2 linked regions of the Lonchura striata genome follow. The protein of the gene in region 1 interacts with the protein of each later gene in a pairwise test. Links are inferred from orthologs where the notes say so. Each region holds a gene or a part of one and is shown on either strand. Other genes may lie near its edges.

Region 1 (10,941 bases):
GAAAAACTCACACCGCAGCAGAACTCTTCCAAAAAAATCACTATATTCCCACACAATAAGCGCTTGGGGGAGGGAAAGTCCCAGTGCAAGCTCTTCAAATCTGTCTCTATTCACTCCTTGGCGAGCCAAGGCTACAATTCCCATCTAAATGCCTCAATGGCTACCTGGGAAGGATTCCTCAAGCAAAACTCTTCAGAAAGGGTACTAATTGCGCAAATACTCGGTAGTTTACTCCTCCTAAGTGCTACCCATCTGAAATCCGAAGGCTATTCAGGGTGCTCCCAATAGCTAATTGCAGCCTGGCAGACACCAAGATACTACAGTCCAACAGAGTGGGCTTCTTGGCCAGATCCTAGAGGGTTGTCAGCAAGTCCTCCCTTTCTTCACACTAAAGCCGGGCTCAGCTGCCCATTTCAAACTTGGTCATTATCTCTCTTCCCTTTCACCCAAGGTATGACTTTTCATCAGTCCCCACAAATTAATACCTGCAGTCTTCTTAAAATGGAACACTGAGCTCACCCCCCACTTCCACCCTTTCTCACCTTTTCACCCCTTCCAGCCTACTAACACTCTCCTGAAAATTTAAGTGCTGGAGTCAAACCACAGACATTGCATTTTGGCTGCAAGTTAAATAACCCCCTGCAGAGCTGCATACACACCTTTTAACACCTTCTGTCCCCACACACCTCGCAGCACAAGCAGCTTCACAACCAACCAGTGCCACAGGCAATTACAGAACAACACAGGACTACTAAAGCAGCCTCCAGTCCACTTCGGTTATTGTCCAAATGCTTCCAAATAATAAAAAAAAAAACAGATGAGGATTTAACAGCTGTACAAGTCAGTATCAGAACAGCTTTGCTCTGAAATAAACAGCTCATAAGCTCCAACTGCTCTGTTACTTTTGCACAATAAGTACACACGCATGCAGGGAACATCCTGAATTCTAGTACAACTTACTAACAGAGCATGAGCCTGAGCTATGTTTCAGTGAGGCTGGATATAATGCAATGTTCTGCTTTAGCCCCATTTTATCCTTGCAGGGGAAGGAAAAACTCTTTAACCAACCCAGATGTGGGCAAAACCCAGCTTCAGAGGGTGTTTTCCGTTTGGTAACCAAGTCGCTTAATTTCAGAAGTTACAAATGGCTGTTCTATGATGGAGACAGCTGCAGCTCCCCAGCCTTAACCTGTTCTCTGTGCTCTCACCTCACTGATACCTGACAGAACCACTGTTCTATTTCTTCTGCTCCACATGAGAAATTAGTGATAAGGAGCTGTGAAATTATCGACCTATTAGAAGAATGAGTCAGTGACACACGAAAAACAAAACCCACTTAACATGGCAGGATCAGCTTAAGAGCAAAGTCTGATACTGAGACAACAGCTCAGTGCCAACTTGCTGAATAAATGAGGAATGTAGTAAAAAGAAACAGGGAACCAGAGAGGTCCAGCCCTTGGAATAAACCCTCTCCTGAAGTTACCATATTGTATCACTAAGTTTCTCCTGCTCGTACTGCTTCTATTCCTACAACATGAAAATACAAAATTTTAAGTGGAAATGCCACTAGAGCAAAATCTCTTTGTAGACTACCATCATAAAAAGACATATATATATATATATAAGGTTTACTATTATTTTCAGCAGCACTTAAACGTAGCAGGGCTTGCCCTTAAATACTTTCAATCACTCAGGTAAGCACAATGAAGGCCTTGAGCACAAAGCACTCTGGAACAGGGCAGGTAATTGTGACCTGGATCATCTCAGAGCTGCAGTGCACAGCTCGGGGTCCTTGTTCTCCTCAGGCACAGCTCAGGTGTGAGCCCAGCAGGAGAGGAGGCCACACACGGGCACTGAGCGCTGCCTGTCCTGTGCCATCACCCAGGAGCTGCGTCACACAAACACAGCTCCAACGCCACCACCTTTAGGAGGTTGTTCAAATAAATGAGCCTTTGAAGTCAGGCCTTACACAAAGCTTTATTAAAAGGTTTTATTAAGATGTCACTATAAAGTGAAATAGCTTTAATACAAAATATTTAGCGATATGACTCACTTACTGAAACAAAAATACTTTTAAACCCTGCATGTCCCTTCCAGCATCTTTATGGACTATTTACTCACTTTTCCAGTTTCAGCCAGCTGGATGAGCTGCCCTTTTAAGCTCTCATGCACACATAGAAAAAAGAAAAAAAGCTCAAGAATGCATCAAAAAAATGCACTGTAAGACCAAAGAAAAAAATATCTGAATTTAGAAAAAACAAGGCACCAAGGCACTATATAATGACAAATCTGGAAACCCATATCAAACCGTGGTTTAATTAATTTTTTAAATAAAGGTATCTGTCAAATCATGTAAAAATTTGTTTTGTTAACAGTGAAGAATGCTGAAAGCATCCCCAAATATGTGATACCTAGTTTACTCAACTATGCAGAAAAGTGTACCAGACTAAAGAATAAAAAAAAAAGGAATCAACTGGTACTCAAGACACTCAAAAAATTAAACACAAAATCAAAATACAGCTAACAGCAGATGTACTCGCACTGGCTTGCAAAAACAACAAAGCAGCAATTCCAAACAGTATCTGCAATTTTTCTGAGTATGTTTTTTATCTGAACTTTTAAATTTTTACAAGAAAAACATTATGGGAGAGGTGCCGTTTATTGTAATCCCAAAATATTCTGCTAACTAGGAAAAACTTCTTAAGCCAGAGACCCAAAAGAAACAGCATCACCCATGATGAGCCCACAAAGAGCTCATGGACCACAGGTGAGCTCCTGATAAAACCTAAGCTCATTTACAATGCTTCACTAGGAGTGAAAAATGCATGTAAATATTTCACATTTTCAGTCAGAAATCAGCCTGAAAACATCACTTTCCATCCTCTCTTTAAATTCTGCTTTCAGACTATGGCCTTGCCTTCCCTACCTCTTCCAGATGACTTTAGCCCCTCTGGCTCAGAGCAATAGTTTTTGTTCAGCGTCACTGGGGGTTTCACTACCCCAGTGACACTGAATATGGAAAAGGCAAGTACAAAAGTAATGTCCTGGCCAGTTTATATCTGAACCCTACTCATCAGGAGTCGATTCTCCAAATTTGGGCTCTCCAAGACGGGGACCAGCTATTTATCCATCATGGAAGAGGCCATTCCAGTGGAGGTGTCAAGTGAATCGGTAAGACAAGGCTTAACAAAACCAACGCTTCCACTATAAACCTGGATTCAGTGCTAGAAGAGGTGGGATGCCTTCCTCCCTAGTAGATGATGAACACACTGCAATGTGCTTACACTTTATACCTGTTCCTAGAAAGAAAACTACTAAATCCCTAAACGTTAATGTTTACTGTATAATCACCCCAAACAACAGTAACATCAATATACGAACACTTATCTGATGAGTAGATGCTCAGTGTGTATCTCACCCTTTGCACACCCAGAAAACAGAAACCAAACAAAACAACTTTCCTAACAAAACCCACAATTTCCAGCTCATACCAACCCATTACAGCAGGTTTGAATTTGAATATATGGGGGACTTTTTGTTTTCTAAATTCACAACCAACACGACTAAAAACACCCCCCGGAAAAGATGCTCAGCCCGTGTCCCAGGACCCGCATTAGGGTTTCCCCCAGCTTGCAGCACAGATGCTCCCACACAGAATTGAAAAACTCCTTCTTGAACATAAAAAAAAAAAAAAAAAAAAAAAAGGCCTAAACATATTTCCAAACCTACCAAACGAGCTCGCCCAGCGCACAAACTCCATCCTCGCTCCCTCCCCCACGCCCCAGCCGCATTTCGGCCTCAGCGGCCCTTTTGTAGCTCCCGCACAATAACAAACCGGCCGAGCCTTCTGGATGCCACCCCCCCCCCTTGTTTTGCTGAGACACACACGGCGCGACAAAAATATCTTTGTGTCACACTCCAGACGACCAAAAAAAAAAAACAACCTGCCTTTGCGGCGGGGAGCCCCCCGCGCCGGCTGCACCCGGCGGGGAGCGCGGCGGGCCGGAGCCCGGACAAGGGGCCCGAGCCCCGGCGGCCCCACCGGGGATGGGCCCGGCCAGGCCCCGCGGCGGGCCCGTCCCCGCAGGGAGAAGGGGGGCGGCTCGCACAAGAAACACCGGCGGCCACAGCAGCGAGAAACCGGGGAGAGTCACCCCCCCAAGCCGCCCACGGGACCCGCCCGAGCCGGGAGGCCGCGGGGTGCCGCAGCCGCTGGCTCCGGCTCCATTTTAGCGCTGCCTCGTCCCACCTTCCCCTCTCCCTCCCCTTCCTCCTCCTCCCCCCCCGGCCCCACTCACCGCCCCGAATATCCGCGGCCGCCGCCGCCGCCGGCCCCCGATACCCACCTGTGGTGGTGGCGGGGAGCCGGGGGTGCCTGCGGAGCCGGGTGCGGACGGGTGATGGGCGCGGGGCGCGGCGGATGGCGGCGGATTGCGCGGGGCGGCGGCGGCGGCTGCGGCCGATCCGGGCACTCGCTGCCTCCTCCTCCTCCTCCCCCTCCTGCTGTGCCGGCCCGGCCCCGCCGCGCAGCGCCACCTGCAGGGCGCCGCCGGCAGCGCGGGGGCGGCGCTGAGGGGAGCCCCCTCAGGGGCACCGGGAGCTCCCTCAGGGGGACCTGCGGAGCGCACCCACAGGATTTGGGGCATCTCTGCAAATCCTGGGAGGCTGCAGCGCCTCTCCGATGAGGAGACACTGCGGAGCTGGGCCGGGTTACTCTGGAGAAGGGAAGGCTGAGAGGGGATCTCAGCAATCCATGTCAGTGTCTCCCCGGTGTGTCCGAGGATGGTGCCAGACTCTCTTCAGTGGTGACAGGATGAGGAGCAATGGCCATAAATTCAAAGACAAAAAGTTTTCCCTCAACATAAGAGAGAATTGCTTTAGGTTGAGGGTGGCAGAGCTCTGGAACAGATGCCCAAAGGAGTGCTTGGAGTCTCCCTCTCTGGAAACAGTCCAAACCCACCTGGGCACATTCCTGTGCATTGATCTGCAGGGATCCCTTCCAACCTCAGTTAATCTGTGATCCTGTGAGCTCCTCTCAGAGAGATGCCGAGCTGCTGGAGTGGGTCCGGGGGAAGGCAACAAGGAGGATTTGAGGACTGGATCATCTCTCCTATGAGGCAAGGGTCATCACGGCAGGGCTCATTGCTACAGCCACCTCAGCCCCCTGTGCCAGGGACAATGTCTCTGAGGGGATACTGGAAATTTTTCCCTCACATTTTTATGACCCCAGAGCCATAGGGCAGTGACAGGGACGTGGGGTGATGACAGGCACATGAGGATTCCTGTCCAGCCTGAGAGGGACCAGAAAACACCACATGTTTTCCAAATGGGCAGCAGGTTCAAAGGAGAAGCTGCCCCTTGGAAGGACTTCAGTCCACAAATATCTTTTAATTTGTTCTGTCATCAAGGATGATGGAAATGAATGCAGTAGAGCAAAGCAGTCACTCCTCTCCCAAAACACTCTACAGAGCCATAAAATACCAATAGCCTCACCAGCAAAAACAGTCCCTGCTTCAGACAAAAGAACTTCAGGTCGACACAACCTAAGAAGCAGCAGCACTGGCAAGAAATTGGCACTAAAGATAGTATTGTAAAAGTTACTGCAAATTGCAGTTCCTCTGCCCAGTGGATGTTTTATAGCTTTGGAGATGTGGTCTCCTTGCACACAAGGACAGAGCAGCATCTCTTTTATTATCCTTCCCTGTCCTGTAAGACACACAGGTGTCTGTCAGTGTGACATTTGGTGACAGAGGGCCAGACTGCAGGTACACACATGCATTTATTTCTTAGGGACTGTCCAGCAGTTCAGAAAAATTGTGCACACACACATTTATATTTATATATATGGGACAAGCACCTGGGCAATTGCTGGTCTTATGCAAATGCACTCTTTAGCTTATTCAATGGTCACCAGACATGTGCTGTCACCCCACATGCCCTTGCCCATGAAGGGAAAGTGGCTTTAGAGGAATTTCGCAGCACATTTCCCAGAGCAGACAGTGCCTCAGCAGGAACTGTCCCCACCTCTCTCCGTGTTACAGGAACAGCGTAAGGCCAGGCACCCGGATCACTGCTCATGAGAGATGATCTCAAACAGCCATCAAGAGTAATGCAGAGGGAAGAAATGCATGAACAGCTTTCTGGACCATATGGGATGTTCCTACAGTTGATCTGCACTGCTATTGAAGTTGCCAGGCACTGAGCTACCACGAGATGCACCAGTGCTGCTGAAACCATCATCTGGTTGTCCTTTTCTGCATATCAAAGTACTGCACCACTCCTGCCCCTTTGGTGTCTCATCTCATCTCTCTAGAAGTGTTTTTACCTGTCCAGAGACAGGAGGTCAATGCCCTCCACTTCTCTCCCTACAGGACCCCAACCCTCTTTCCCAACATTCCCAAATTCCTGTTCTCACCAGCTCACTGGCAGCTGGGGCATTAGTCTGGTCCACTTAATTCTTTATTTCTCCATTGGTCAAACAAGTACATACACATACAAACACCTCCTCTAACCTGCCTCCTGCCCATGCAAAACCTCAGAGTCTTCCACAGCAGCAGCTACAGTGACAGGAAGCCACCCTGTGGCACCAACATTTCCTTTTGGGAGATCAGGAATGTGGGATCCCCTCACTTTCAGTGACTCATGCAGACACCTACAACCCCCACCATCAGCAGGTGACTCACATAGGCTTGGCCAGGTCAGCACTATCCACATCTGCTGCTGTAACAAGCAGTTCTCCCAAGGTCTCCTGTGCATCTCCAAGGCAACAATCCAAGGCCAAGGGAGTAGATGCAGCAATTAAAGAAAAATTAATGCAAACTGTTGTGGTGATCAAAAAACCAAAGTAAACAATGAAAGACAATAGTAAATATATTACCAAGTGTGTACACTGCAGTGCCCACAAGCTCCTGGCTTTTCCACCTGTGCCCAGCAGTGTGCCAGAGCCAGCTCTGGAATTTTGCAAGTCTGGCTCAGGACTGCATTAGGGCTGGATTTTTCCACCCCTTCACTGTTCAAAGCTGGACAAAATCTGGATAGTGAGAGGACAAAGCTTGTCTCTGCCACCACAGGGGAGAGTGGGGTTCCTCTACATCCAGGTGAACTACGTGTGGCCCATGGGGACACATATGGATCAGACCTTGGCATAAAGTGAGGAATTTCTTCTGGTGCTCTTTAAAAGACCTGCACCACCTCTCACCAGCCTGTGTATAAATCAAAATAACTGGTGTAAAGTGAGAGCTTGGTAGGACTAGACCCACAACAGACTGTGGAGGAGGAGTGTCAACAATGAGAAGCAATTTGGGCAGAGACTGAAGAATAGGTTTCATCTGGATGAAATTCAGTGCATAGCTCTATGCAGGATCCATTCTGGAAAAACAACTCACCCACTCTGATTTTTCACCTGTTCCAGAGTCTTTACTAAATTGCTCCCTAGAAAAAAGAGTGACACTCAGGAGTATTCTGCTTCCTCCTTGCAGGACTAATTACAAGTGAGAGCAGAAATCCTTCTGTGTGCTTCATCCTTCCACTAGTGAGAAATCTGCTAAACACAAAATATCCATTACAGAGGAAATCTGCTAAACACAAAATGTCTATTACGAGGGCTATCCATTATAGCCCTCGTATAGGACATACATCTACAGAAGTATCTTCTGATATAAGGTCTCCTAGAAATAATAGAATTTCTATTATGTTCTGCAGCTTCTACAAAATTTGCTCTGAATCCATCAATCCCTGCCCCTGCCTTGCACCAAGCAGGGTGATTTACAGGCTCAATACTCCTGTGCCATTTTGCTATCACTTTGTTCAGCTGTAAATGGCAGCCTGCACCACAGGACAGGGCCTTACTGCCCTCGCAGTCATTCACAAAACTCATCAACACACTTGTAAAAAGCAAAGCGATCCTTCTCTGTTCCCCATCCAGAGGCCATTTGGCACCACAAAGTACACATTTACCTTAGTGGCTCAGGTCACGGTCCTTCCAGTTTTCCATCTGTCTCAGACAGCAGCCAACATCAGCTACTGCAGGAGAAACTCAATGGTCAGTTGTGGAATCACATGTCCAAGGGAAAATATGCTTTATAATTCCATGAGGTAAGAGCTGTTTATGCCCTGAAGCATGAGAATAATTTCAAATTCAGTTGTGTCTAAATCAAGAGTGCCTCATGACTGCACTGATTTCATTAGCTTATCTGAGACAGCTACAGGGAAATTCAAGCCTGCAACTAAGTGAGCAGGGCCTTAGGACCCAAAACCCAGTCAGCAAGAACATCAATAGAGTTGAGCTGTCATATTTGAGAGGTAGAAGACATGAGTAGCTCTGGCAGCTCTCTGTAATCCCACGAATGAGCCTGTGTTACCCAAATATAAGGAAATGTTTTGAAAGCCAGAACTCAAGCAGAACAAAGGGACATTGGGTCTCAAATATAAAAGATTTTCCCCCCCTCTACTTTAAGACTGAATATCAACAGAGATGCTTTGTAAAAAGAGGTATTCTGTAAGAAGAGAAAGGAAGCTGGAGTCTCTCACTTGTCTAAGCTGAAATAAGTATGAAATATTGGGAATGGAAAAATAGTATGAGAACCAAGTAATCCTGGCCTGTGTTTCAAACTGGGTTACTTGGAATAATTGTGTTACTTACTGCTTCTTCTAGCTGCCAGATCAGGTAGAGGCTGTTGATTTTTATTCCTTTGCAGCCTATGGGAGTTGCAGGCTCTGTATAAAAACAAGATGACATGGAAGTGTTTGTTTGCCAGGCTATTGTTTGTCCTTTTAAAGGCTGCAGTCACACTCCATTCTTCATGAGAAAATGCTGGCTCCTGAAGGACAAACCAAAATGACTATTTAAGGCACTAAAAATGGAAATCATTTAAAACAGAGCTGATTAAAAGGAAGAAACTATTCTTCCAATGAGAAGTGAATTGCTTTCAGCTGGCCTGAGCACTGAGCTTTGTTTGCAACAAAACCCAAATACCAGTTGCCTGATAGTGCAAGTATTTTGAAGGCACTTAATCTGCCATGACTCTAGTTTTTCCTTGTCCATAACTGCAAAACAAGTGTATTGCTTCTGCTCATCCTGGCTCAGTGATTATTCCTTTGGCTGGGCTGTTCAGAAGACAGCAAGACTGCTCTTCAGACAGATTTTAAAGCCCAGCCTTTCTTGCTACATCCAATTGGAAGCCCTCACAAAACCTTGATTGCTTAAATAGCAAGAGATTCAAGAAAAAAAAAAATCCAGAAACATCACACAGCTTTTTTACAATGTGACAGCTTGTGTTCTTCAAAAGACTCCAAAGATTGATAGTGACATGCCAAGTTTTCAGCACCTTCAGAAAAGAGGGGAAAATAGGGAGATGGAGGTTCAAGTACTAAAGTTTTGTCAGGGAAAGACTTGGGTGTATTTTTCAATACAACACTCACTTCCAAAACACACAGAAAAACACTTAGAGAAGCACCTGGGGTTTTTTTCAGTTAGCACCTCTGTTTGCTCTATCAAAGCCCCTTCTTCAAAGAGGTTGGAAAAAAAATCCAAGACAAATAAGGGGATAGAGTTATTTAACATAGGGTCCTCCTACAAGGTGTATCTCAAAATACAAGGAATATTTCTGAGGAAGGCAAAACATTCCTGTTTTAGATCAACCTGATTCTTATGACAATTCATAATATAAATATATCAAACTTCTTTCACTCTAAATCTGAAGATCAGTCCAGATTTAAACTACAAAGTAATTTTGTTTCCTACCTTGAAACTCTCATAATGACTATAGTTGTGGTCAGGATGTGAGTGCAAGGACATGTTTGGGTTCATGGTTCCAACCTTCCATCACAACAATCTGATTCCTCCTGTCCATGCGTGGCAAGACAGCTGCTGTTTCACAGCTCAAAAATATCTTGCTTCACCCTGACAAAGGGAAGTATCAGCTGCTTCTGAATATGCTGGAGCTGATGGGAATGGATGGATTTTGGTAGAGCTTCAGCCCCTGCTGTAAACAAGCCAGTTCTTGTTGTCCCTGCCGAGCGTGGCTCTGATCAGTGATGATCACAGCCCAGCCAGCATGTGAATCCTGCACACGTGCAGAGACAGAAATGGTAACTTCAACTAACAGGCTGCAGGATGCACTTCCACAGCCCTGAAACCAAGGCCGTTGTTTGGAACACCTCTGGAGCTACAGAATTTCCTTTCTCTTGGGGAATTCATGAAATAACTCTCTAGTGAATGTTTTTTTCTCATGACCAGATTTGTCCCTTCCATCTCAGGAGCTCCCACGTGGCCCCTTTTGAGTTCAGCTTCTTCTTTAATTATTAACAGAATTCCTAAATATTTCAGCGGGTGCTAGCTACCTCTGCTCAGGGAAAACACAGCATCGGCCCCAAAAGCTCCATCCACCTCCTGCCTCTCCGTCCCTGTGTCCCTGCTCCCTTCGGAAACGACCAAATGGTTTGGGGTGTAACTTCCCGCGGGACTCTGGCTGCTGGTGCGGGGACAAGGACGCGGAGGGGCTCGCAGGGGCTGGGGCATCTCCGTGCCGGGGGCTGCGATCCGGGGCGGCGGCGACATCCCGCCGTGTCCCCACTAGATGGAGCGACAAACCCAGCCTGGAGCCGCCGGCTCTCCCCAGTGTCCCCAGCCCTGGCTGCTGCGTGCCCCGGTGGCCGGAGGGCTCGGAGGGTGGCCCCGGCAGCGGCCAGCCCCGTTCCCGCATCTCCGCCCGCTGTGTCCCCGCGGCACGCTGGGCTCACGCCCCACGCTTGGTGCTCAAAGAGGCGGCCGAGGTGTCGAGCAGATGCTTCTCCACGTGGGAGTGGGTTTTTCTTGGTGCTGTGAGCACCTCGGCTTCGCTATTTAGAACCCAGGCAGCGCTAATGAACCCGGCGAGTGAGCAGCAGCCCTGGCGATGGACTCAGCCTCACACAAATCACCCCGCAGCTTTGCTGAGCCCC
Region 2 (11,106 bases), on another chromosome or scaffold:
TCTTCCCTTCAACAGCAGAACATTTATTTCAATATTCTTGACCTTTCTGCACCCTTCTGTATCTTTTTTATTAAAAAACCCAAAACAAAACCAACTTAACCATTCTGCTAACCAGGAAAACAATCTCCCCCCAAAAATGTTCCTTGCTGGTGATTCCTGTTCCATAGGAAGAATCTCTTGGTTCTCACTGACTTTACAGGAGGATGCTCTTGCTGAGTGTAAATCTGTAGATGAAGAGTCTACTTGACTCAGTTCTCTCTGCTCTTAAAAGTACTTTTAACACAATATTACTCACATTTGATTTTTGATGTTAAATATATTATTGTGTCAGCTGGGGCTTTAATTTCTAAAGCTTATTTTAAATATCCAGTTGGCTTCAAATCTTTTTTTTAAGTTATCTGTACTTTACAGTAATTTTCAAGGGATGAATAAATCTGACTGGATAACTGGATAATAAGGCTTTGTTCAGTAACATGGTTGTCTTCAGTACAAAATCTCACAGTCCTAATTAATGCTACTGTCACTTTCCACTTAAAATTGTAAGAGGACCTACACAATTGTTTGTTGTGCCATGCCAATTTTTTCACTGCAGCATAAATAAGTTGGTCAATGGAGCTACACTTCCATAAAGAAAACTTTTATTATAATTATGTAAATTCTAACAACCATAGCAATTTTTCTATTTAATCCTAATAATTTGGCTTGCTGACAGCAAAGACAAATTTCCCACAATAAAACTATAATAGATGGGTTCATTTTTTCTATGTGAACATTCAGTATATTTCACAGTTTAGTTTTTAGTCATTAAAAATTACATACAAATGTGACAAAGCACAACTTTAAAAAATCAAGGGGAGGTGAAAACCTCAATTTCATTTATAATTAATTCTGAATTAAAAATTAAGATTTTGCTTCCTTTTTTCCTCACAAAGGCTTTCCTACTTTCCACAGTAGGTTAACTCCAAAAGAAGGAATGCCTCCCATTAAATTATTTTAAGTCTGGAGAACATGTCTATGCTGCAAGCAAGCTCAGTGATGTCATCAATATTAACACTGGCATCTGACAGCTTCAGGCTGAATTATAAATTTCCTTTTTAAAACATAACACTTCGCCATCCCATCGTTTACCTCTGCTAAATGTTTCTTTCTGAAATGGAGTTTCATACTTGTGAATGAAAACCTTTTGCTGCTCCAGTTTCTAAAAATTTTGTTCTCTTAAAAGATTTGAATATGAAGTCAAGAATTACTTCAGAGAATACTTTCAATTATAATAGTATTTTAGTCATGGATGTTGATTTAATGTACATTATAATGAGAGTTTACATTACAGTTCCTTACTTTTAAGTAACACATCTTTAATTCTTAAAATGTATCAGAGAACATGAAAGAACATTTGCTGAAGTGTAAAAAATGGGACTCTACAAAGCACCTAGAGAGCATCCAACCCAAATCTCAACTACATTAATTTTTATAATTATATAAATAATAGAAATCAGGAGAGCCCTAAAGCAGAATTTTTAAACTCCCACAAGCAACTGGCCTATCAAGGAACTGTAAGATCAGGCTGTCCCAGTCCAGCCACACCAATAACCTGCAAGGGGAGGAGCAATCAGCTCCAGCTCCTCGGAGCATCAACTTCATTTTCACTTGTGGCCATCTGGAAATGCAGAGTAATATTAGCTTTGGGAACACAAATGCTGCTTGTTATCACCAAGTAACACAATATGCTGCCATTTCTTTTTCCATTTCTATTTAAGGCATTTGCCCCCTCCACACAATCCTATGAATGGAGTGCCAACAACATCCCTAAGGAATAAAAAAAACAAAAACAACAACAAAACAAACAAAAAAAACCCCAACAACAACAAAAAAACCAAAACTAAGTTAAAAAGACACTAACCTGATTTGACTGCCCAGAAAGGTAAGGTTCAAAATCGTTGTCGTGAACTGTGTCCTTCTGATGTAACGAACCATTTTGTACTACAAAATAAGGGTTACAGCACATTAGAACAGCAGCAGCATTGGAGCAGGAGTGATGCTCCACCCTATGCTACTTTAGGAAAAGCCATACTTCTTCTGCAAGCCAGAAAGACTCACAAAAAGACCAAGGGATGACACTTCCCACCCCCCAGATTGTTTCTCTTTATATAACTGTTTATAAAACAAAGTTTGAGTAAATTAAAAAAATTAGTAATAAAAAATTCTACAGCTGAGGGTGAGTAAACAACTCATGTGAATTAACTCCCAACAAAAAAATCATTATTGAGAACAATTTTGTGAAAAAGGATTGAGAAACAGCATCTATTGTTCTGGCCCATAATTAGAACACACAAACTCACAGTTCTCCCAGCATGTGTTATTCTCTGCTTAAACTGGCTAAAATAAGATGAGGTGAGGTTACATTGTATTATGAAATGAAGACTGCTAAGAGCTTTGTTATCCTGATATTTTCAGGAAAACTTAAGTTTCAACATTCTCATCTGTAGAAAAAAATATATATATCTGCCATAAAGTCCTACTTCATGTGAAACCCATTACTGAATGATATACAAACCCAAACCAGCTACTAGGTCCCTTCAAATAATTTCCTGTTTGCTTTAAATTTGAAAAACCAAGGTCAAATACACAGTGTGGTAGTTGCTATATTTACCTATTTCACAGAACAGCTGAACTAAATATAATAGTACACCAAATAAAGTGTTTAGCAAACAAGTTTGGGAATTTAGCAGAGCATTTCTGCAAAGTTTGTCAAGGGGAGAAGAGGTAAAAGAGTGTTTACAAACACAGGGAGATGTGTTTAACGTTTAACTAGAAGGATTCTCAAGGCAGGTTAAGATGTATGAAAAAGCATTTATGAGATAGATATTACTACTTTCTAAGTCTTAACAGTTACATATTTGTAAGCGATCACAATAAGAATGAAGGTATTTCTCAGATGACTTGTTACTAAGTTTAATTTCAATTGAAGCAGAATAGTTATAAAAATACTTATTACCTCATCATAAATTAACCATCTTTCAAGTTCCCAAAATTATTAAGTTTATGGACTTAAGTAACTATCTCAGCCAACAGCAGAGCAGCAACACAACTGCACTCACAGAGCATGCAAAAGTAGGCAAAAATACATATACTGTACAGGGATATCCTTGTGACTTTATGTAGCAACTTGCTTCATGTTAAACGAGAATTATTTAGTTCCAGCACAGTCCTTCCCACTGCAAACCCAGCAGCAGTAAGTGGGATGCAGGCAAGCTCGGATGAATGGCAGTCATGTTATTTTCGAAACAAAGCACACGTTCCCTCATTCCCAGATGTTTTCCATGCAGAGTACCAGCCATACATTTCTGCTCACCTACAGGTACCTGCGTAATTGATCTCTTACAGTAACAATTTAAGCGACCAGATCACAGCACGATTCCTCACCTTTATTATCCTGTCCTTTCGGTCTCTGGGAAGCCACAGCACGTGATTACGGGGAAAAAAAAGAAAAAGGGAAGTAAAAAAGTTAATTTTAGAAAAACGCTTATATTGTCATAGGCACTGCAAACCCCACAGCTTACGAGGACGGGGAAGAAAGAGACTTATAAAAATGGCCAGCAGCATCTCAAGGTTTGTTTGGAGCAGGGCTGGAGCAGCGTGTTCCACGTATCCCTCAGGCCCGGCCTTGCTGAGAAATGGCTCCGGGGAGGAGGCGGGAGCGCGCTGAGCCCACGGGGGAAGTTGAGGAGAACGATGGAGCTCTAAAGCAGTCAAGGGGGAGAAGAAAAGCCTGGCGGGGCCTGCACCCGCAGGCCCGGGAGCTCCCCCGTCCCCGGGCCGCCTCGCCACTCGCTCACCTGAGGGTCAACGCTTGTGGCAGACATAATTCATGCACAGGGCCCCGTGGTTCAGCAGAGAGCGCCGGGGAACGAGGCAGGGCCGCTGGGCGCGGCGCGGAGCTCCGGGGCCTGGCGGAGGGGCGGCGGCGGCGCCTCCGCTCCCCTCAGGCGGCGGCCGGGCGGGGAAGGGGCCGGGGCCGAGGGGGAGGGAAAGGGGCCGCCTGGCGCCTGCTCGGGGCGCCTCCTCAGCGGGCGGCGGAGCGGGCGGCGGAGGCGCGGCGCGGCCGTGCCGGAGCCGGTGGCGGAGCCGGCCCGTGTCTCACATGCCCGCGGGCCGGGCCTGGGGCCGCAGCGAGCGGGGCAGCGGCGGCCGCCGACTCCAATGGCGGCGGGCGCCGGGCTGCGGTGACGTCAGCGGCGAGCGCGCGCGGGGAGCGCCGGGAGCGCACGGGGAAAGGCGCGCGGGGCGGCGGCGCCTCTGCGCGTGCGCGGCAGCGCGGGCAGGGCTGAGCGCGGGGAGGGCGGGGGGCGGCGGGAGAGGGCGGGAGGTGTGGGGCTGGGATAGGGGATGTGGGGCCGGGATGTGGGATATGGGATATGGGATATGGGCTGGGATAGGGGATATGGGCTGGGATAGGGGATACGGGGTCGGGATATGGGATATGGGCTGGGATAGGGGATATGGGGTCGGGATATGGGATATGGGATATGGGCTGGGATAGGGGATATGGGGCCGGGATGTGGGGTGTGGGATATGGGATATGGGCTGGGATAGGGGATATGGGATATGGGATATGGGATATGGGATATGGGATATGGGCTGGGATAGGGGATATGGGATATGGGATATGGGCTGAGATAGGGGATATGGGGCCGGGATATGGGATATAGGATATGGGATATGGGATATGGGGCCGGGATATGGGATATGGGGCCAGGATATGGGATATGGGGCCGGAATAGGGGATAGGGGGCTGGGGCATGGGATGTGGGATATGGGGCTGGGATATGGGATGTGGGATATGGGGCTGGGATAGGGGATAGGGGATATGGGACTGGGATATGGGATATGGGGCTGGGATAGGGGATATGGGATATGGGATAGGGGCTGGGATATGGGATAGGGGCTGGGACATGGGATATGGGATATGGGGCTGGGATATGGGATATGGGATATGGGCTGGGACATGGGATGTGGGGCTGGGACATGGGATGTGGGGCTGGGACATGGGATATGGGGCTGGGACATGGGATATGGGCTGGGACATGGGATATAGGGCTGGGACATGGAGCTGGGTTATGGGATATGAGCCCGGGCCATGCGATATTATTGTGGGCCATGTTATATGAGGCTGGGCCATGCTATATGTGACATGGGCATGTGATATTATGCTGGGCCATGCTATGTTATGGTTGGCCATGCTATATGAAGCCAGGCCATGGGATACTATGCATGGGAGGGAGGGAGGGAGGGGGCGCATGGCAGACATGGCTCTGCCTCACAGCCCGTCACAGGGCACTCGGGCTGCCCAGCCGGGGAGCGGCAGGACGAGGGCACGGAGCACAGCTCAGGCTGTGCCTCACTTCCTTGGGAGCAAAGGGTTCTTCACCCAGAGGATGGTCGGGCACTCGAACAGGCTCCCCAGGGATGTGGCCACGGCACCGAGCCTGATTGCTCAAGATACGTGTGGACAACAGCACATGGAGGATTCTTGGGCGTCCTGTTAAGGGCCAGGAGTGAACTCGATCCTTGTGTGTCTCTTCCAACTCAGAAGATTCTCTGATTCTGTTCCTCCCTCAGTCTTTGAGAGGACTCTTTGCCCACAGGCTCAGCTGTGCAGATTCACAGGATCACTGAGACAGAATCCCTGAGCTTCCTGAGCTGGAATGGACCCAGGATCACCAAATGACTTAGGTTGGAAAAGACTTCTGAGACCATCAAGTCCAACCTATTCCCAGTGCCCCTGGTCAGCTACATCAGGGCACTGAGTGCCATGGCCATCCACCACCTCCCTGGGGCCACACATTCCAATGTCTCATCACTCTTTCTGTGAAGAAATTCCTCCTGATACCCAGGTACAGTTTAAGACTCTCAAGGATGATCAAAGCCCAATTCCTGTCCTGGCACAGGACACCCCCAGCAATCCCACCTTGTCCAAAGCTCCTTGAGCTCCATCAGGCTCAGTGCCCTGATCACTTTCCTGGGGAGCCTGTTCTGGTTCACCCAAGAGCTTTGGGAGACCCACCTTTCCTCACACAGCCAGCAGCCACCCTCAACATGGGTTTTTATCAGATTAATTATTTTTTCCTCTTCCAGCTGTTTTGCAGAACCTGGGTGGAATTTGGGCCCCTTAGCCCAGTTTATGTTGATTTCTGTGGGATCAACATCTAAGTCCTCCTAGTCACAAAGTGTTGTAATATCTCCATGCTTAATTTTGGGGGTAAAAGTGGCAAATTCTGGTCCTTGTGGAATACACTGAAGAACACAATCATGCTTTTCTTTAGACGTAGTTAAAACCCGAGTCTTCACATGTTTGAAAACTGAGTTTGAGTTTGTACTTACTATTGTAATAAAATATCTGAAATGAAGAGTGCACTTTTGTCCTTTCTCTGATCAGACATCCAATGATAAAGAAGAAAGAGTGGTGCTTTAATCCTCAGCACCTGGACATGCTCTGGCTTCTCTGTTTGACTTGGGTAGGAAGTAATAATTAGTATTTTCTTAGAAAACACTAATTTTCCCAGACTGGATTGGAAGACACCTCAGAGATCATCTTGTTCCAATCCCTGCTGTGGGCAGGGACAGCTCCCACTCGACCAGGTTGCTCCAAGCCCTGTCCAAGGTGGCCTGTTCCAATTCTGTTTGCCTTCAGTGTAATTATGGAGCAAATCAGTAAATCCCTGCTGTGGGCACTCCCTGAGAGAGCTGGGAAGTCTGTCCAAAGAGCAGAGCTTCAAGAAACAGGACTAAAAAGAAAGTGATCAGCATGGCTGGAGAGAGGAACACGTGTGCAGAAGGAGAAGGGAAAGGCTGGGTGCCTGGGTGATGGGCACTGCTCCGAAGTCCATGTGATTGTGTATGTTCACATCTCGATATAGAAACGATGTGACTATGAATCATCCTGCCAGGAGAGCATGTGGGCAGAATGTTAAAGCTCTCTCTGCTTCAGCATCCCAACGCACAGGGGGCTCTTAGGCTGTACCTGTTAGGTTAGACCCAACGGCAGCATATCACATACTTACATGCATGCACACGTCTAAGTCTTTGTGGGAATATTTTTTTTTTTCTGTTGCATTTGGAAATTTTTTTTTCTTCCTGGTAATGCTATGAATGATCTTGTCTATCCATTGAGAAGTGCGTAGTCTTTTAGAGATAAAACCAGTAAGATGAAAAGTCTCAGCTGAAGGATATGGATAAAGCAATATTCATATTTATATATATATTATATAACTTAGGATACTCTTGGAGGGTAACAAGTAACCCAGGGGGAAACATGGGGTTTGGTTCTCTCTTAGTTGAATGAAATGTGTTCTTCTAGTTTAAGAAAAAGTTGTACTTATCTTTGTCTTCCTTTGCTAACGCACTCTGAAATCTCAGAAGAGTTCATGTGTAAACTACAGCATATTTGTGTTAGTGTTTTTATTATTAGTTTTTAATTCAGGTTTTACAGGAATTTTATGCAGCCCTCTCTGTTATGAGCATGGAAGAAAATCAAATATTGCCATAATGGAATCATGTCCCTCCTGCACCCTACACCCCTGCGGAATGTTCCCAAACCAAGGACCCAGCATTCACTTCCATCATTTTAGGGTGAAAAATAAAAGCAGACACACAGAGAAATTGTAGCTGTTCTCCTCTCCTGTTTCTCATGTCACTGACACATTGTTTGTGAAAACATGAGGAGGGAAATCATATGCAAAGAGTGTGGCCTGTGAACAGATCCCATCTGACATCAGCATCACACATGCTGTTCCCTGCAAGACAAAATCCTTGGAAAGCTGTGGCAAGGAGCTCAGTGGAGCAATGACTGAGCACAGGAACTCTCCCCTGTCTCCCTCTTGATCTTCATCCTTGGCAACTCCTTCTTGCTGCTGTGGTGGGGTTTCTATTAAATTGTAAGGTCAGTCTGGTTTCTTTGTTATGCATTTTTTCCTTCATCTCTTTGCAGTGACTTCAGGTTGCTTTGTTGTTTTTCTTCCTCATCTTTCAGTCTTCCTATTGATTATTGATACAGGGACAAAATAAATTAATTCCAAGCCAATTTGCATGGAGAAAAGCAGATAATTGTAATGTGAATAGCTCGAGAATAGATCTTTCTGCTTGTTGCCCAAGCAATATTCAGGCAGCCAGGCACATTCTCTGCAATAAAAACACAGTCCAAAGTATAGCAGGATTTAATTGGAAAATCAGATGTTCTGTGATTCTTGATGGCTGATTTTCTGCCAATTATAAAGTAGGATGAGCTCCATTAGAATCACAACAATCCCTGACAAATTCTTCTTTACAGGTAATTCAATGGCTGAATGGTGGAACTGTGGCCACAAGTGGGCAAGGATCTCTTCTGAGCTGTTAGATTTATAAATGAATAATTTAGAGTTGCAATACCACTCAGTTTACATAAGGCTCCAGTTCTTCTGCTTCTCTACCTCCTGGCTTGAAGTAGGTGAAAGGAATAGAGCCCAAATGTGAGGCTCCTGCATGTCAGAACCAGAAGGAATTGGGAAATTATCAAGGTCAGCCAGAGGGAGAGGAAGAGCTGTGATTCATCTTTGGAGAAACCTACAGATGCTACTTAAGAAGGAAAAAATCAAGATAATATAATTTATATTTTCCATACTCACAGTTTTCCTCCTCAAATTTTAATTTGCATTCTCAATCCCTTTGCTGCTGCTCAGGCTTCTGAGCACTCTGCATGCTCTTTGGATCACTGGATTGTTGATCTGCTGAAAACTGAAAATAGTTTGTTCAATTTGCAGCAGCAGAGAATTTTTACAGATTTTTTTTCAAGTATTCAGAATGTTATGGGAAACAAAAAAAGAAAACAAATAATGGATAGGGTTTGGGGTTACTCTACATTTCTTTTTTTTTTTCCCCTCGTGATTATTGGGTCCACTGTCAGGGGCAAGAAGGGCTAGAAAACTGAATAAAGAGAAAAAGTAATCTTTGAAAAAGAAACTCATATTTTTCAGCTTCAAAAGACATTTAGAAAAATAAAAGAGAAGCTATTTTCTACAAACACTTTCCTTTGAAAAAGAAGTGAACAGTGGCCAACCCACTCTTCAATAGCAGGAATATTTTTTATAATAGGCTGGACACTGAAACCATGAAGTTCTTTAGATTTTAAGGCCTGTTCCTCTACTGATTTTTTTGAGTATCTGATGTGCTTTGCAGATTTTCCTTTTCATATGTACTGTGTTCTGTTCTGTGGGCTGAGATATTAATAGGATTTGATTTGAAGTACTTTTATGAATCATGTTGCAAGCTACATTTAGCTATTCCTAACTATTACAATACCTAAAGTTTTGAGGCAATCAAATGCCATAGTAATGGGGGCCAGGGGAAAGAATTAGGGCAGGAGATGAATAGATTTGAATCCCTAGGAAATCACTTCACAACACAGGTATTTGTTACTCATCTGTGTGTTAGTTCCAGCAGTCCCTATGTATAGTAAATGTACTTTTTACAAGAGCATGCAGTGACAGGATAAGGGAGAACGACTTTAAACTAAAAGAGAAGCGGTTTAAGTTTGATATTAGGAAGAAGTTATTTACTCAAATGGTGCTGAGGCCCTGGCACAGATTACCCAGTGAAGCTGTGGCTGCCCCATCCCTGGAAGTTTCCAAGGCCAGGTTGGACAGGGTTTGGAGCAATCTGGGACAGTGGAAGGTGTCCCTGCCCATGGCAGGGGGTGGAATGAGATGAACTTCAAGGTCCCAACCCAAACCATTCTGGGATTCTATTATTTACTTCATAGCAACATTTTCCAGGCTTCCTGAATGAATGATTCTTAGCGTGTGGAAAAATAAACCATTTATATTTATTAATGTGTTAATTTTTTTTTTTTGTTATTATTGAAAAGGGCCCAAGGGAAGTGCAGTGAGGAAGATGTTGATAGACAGAGAAGATCACTGTAGATGTATGGCAGAACTTCTTATGGGAAAAGAAAAACTTGAGCTGCATGAGACAGCAAAGTGAGGCTTCTGAGCTTTGCCCTGCCCTGAGGAAATGGCTTTGTGTTTGTCCTCAGTCACTTTTCAGAGTGCTTTGTCACTATCCACTGAGTTGGATCCTGTTTGCTGTCTGCAAGATTTGTTTTAGGGATGCTGTGGAGCTGCGTATCAACACCCAGATGTGCTTTGGTCCTTCGGGGCTGCCCTGGGAGGCAGCTGAGCAGATGGGCTCCTCCCGGGTGTTCCTGTGGCAGGAGCTCCCCAGAGAGCAGCAGTGCAAGTCCTTCTCTGCAGGACCAGAGCAGCAGTGCAATTCCTGCCCTGCAGGACCAGAGCAGCAGTGCAGGTGCTGCCCTGCAGGACCAGAGCAGCAGGACCTTCAGGAGAAGGAAGGGGGAGGACAGCATGGACAGCATGCCAGGAAGAGGCAGCCAGAAGAGGAGAAGAGAGCCCCTAAATGGAGAAACAGCAGCAGTCATCTGTGCCTAGGCCTTCAGCTATAATGATTTTGTCTACTCTGCTTCAGGCTGCAAAGCAGTTACATCTCAGGGTCTGAATGCTTTATTCTGAAAAATGGATCCACCTCTTAATAGTGGCTAACATCTGAGCAAGTGGGAATGGGAATGATGCCATAAATTTGCTCGATACCCAGTCCTTTTACTCATCAGTTGAAGTGACAAGCTATGGTGTCTCCTTTTGTGTTCCAGCCTCTTCATTTCTTCACCAGTGCCAACTGATACCTTTTTTCCCTCCTGTTATAAAAGCCTCTTTCCTCAGTAAACTCTTAATTTATTGATGAAAGCACAATAGTCTCAAGCTATGCCACACAGAACAGCTTCAGCCTCTTACAGCTGTGTAGCACCTCCAGGGTGGAGATGAATTCTGCTGGAGTTTTTCCAGGGCCTCCAGTCACTTCAGTGCTTTCAAGCTTTTTATTATGCTGCCTCCAGATATACTCTGGCCCTTGTATGTATTGATTGTTTTCCTTCTGAATCAGGTTGATAATAGCAAGCAGATTTTTGATTAATTATGTTTATATTCCTTTCTTCATCGAGTGTTTCCAATCACTGTCTAGTGATGGCACTGTTGATCATTATCACTGATCTGTCCTGGACTC

Evidence for each region.
Region 2: the proteins of PRRC2B (region 1) and YTHDF1 interact in a two-hybrid assay, tested with the Homo sapiens proteins (2 studies listed by BioGRID, with this or other methods). The link is inferred for Lonchura striata from reciprocal best matches to the Homo sapiens genes PRRC2B and YTHDF1.

What each region holds. Positions count from the first base shown.
Region 1 is NC_134624.1:6,955,473-6,966,413, reverse strand, and holds the start of PRRC2B (protein PRRC2B), read right to left. Parts: upstream 4,489-10,941; 5' UTR 4,347-4,488; exon of another isoform or gene 4,299-4,346; intron 1-4,298.
Region 2 is NC_134619.1:6,018,846-6,029,951, forward strand, and holds the start of YTHDF1 (YTH domain-containing family protein 1), read right to left. Parts: upstream 4,015-11,106; 5' UTR 3,864-4,014; coding exon 3,837-3,863; intron 3,449-3,836; coding exon 3,424-3,448; intron 1,981-3,423; coding exon 1,901-1,980; intron 1-1,900.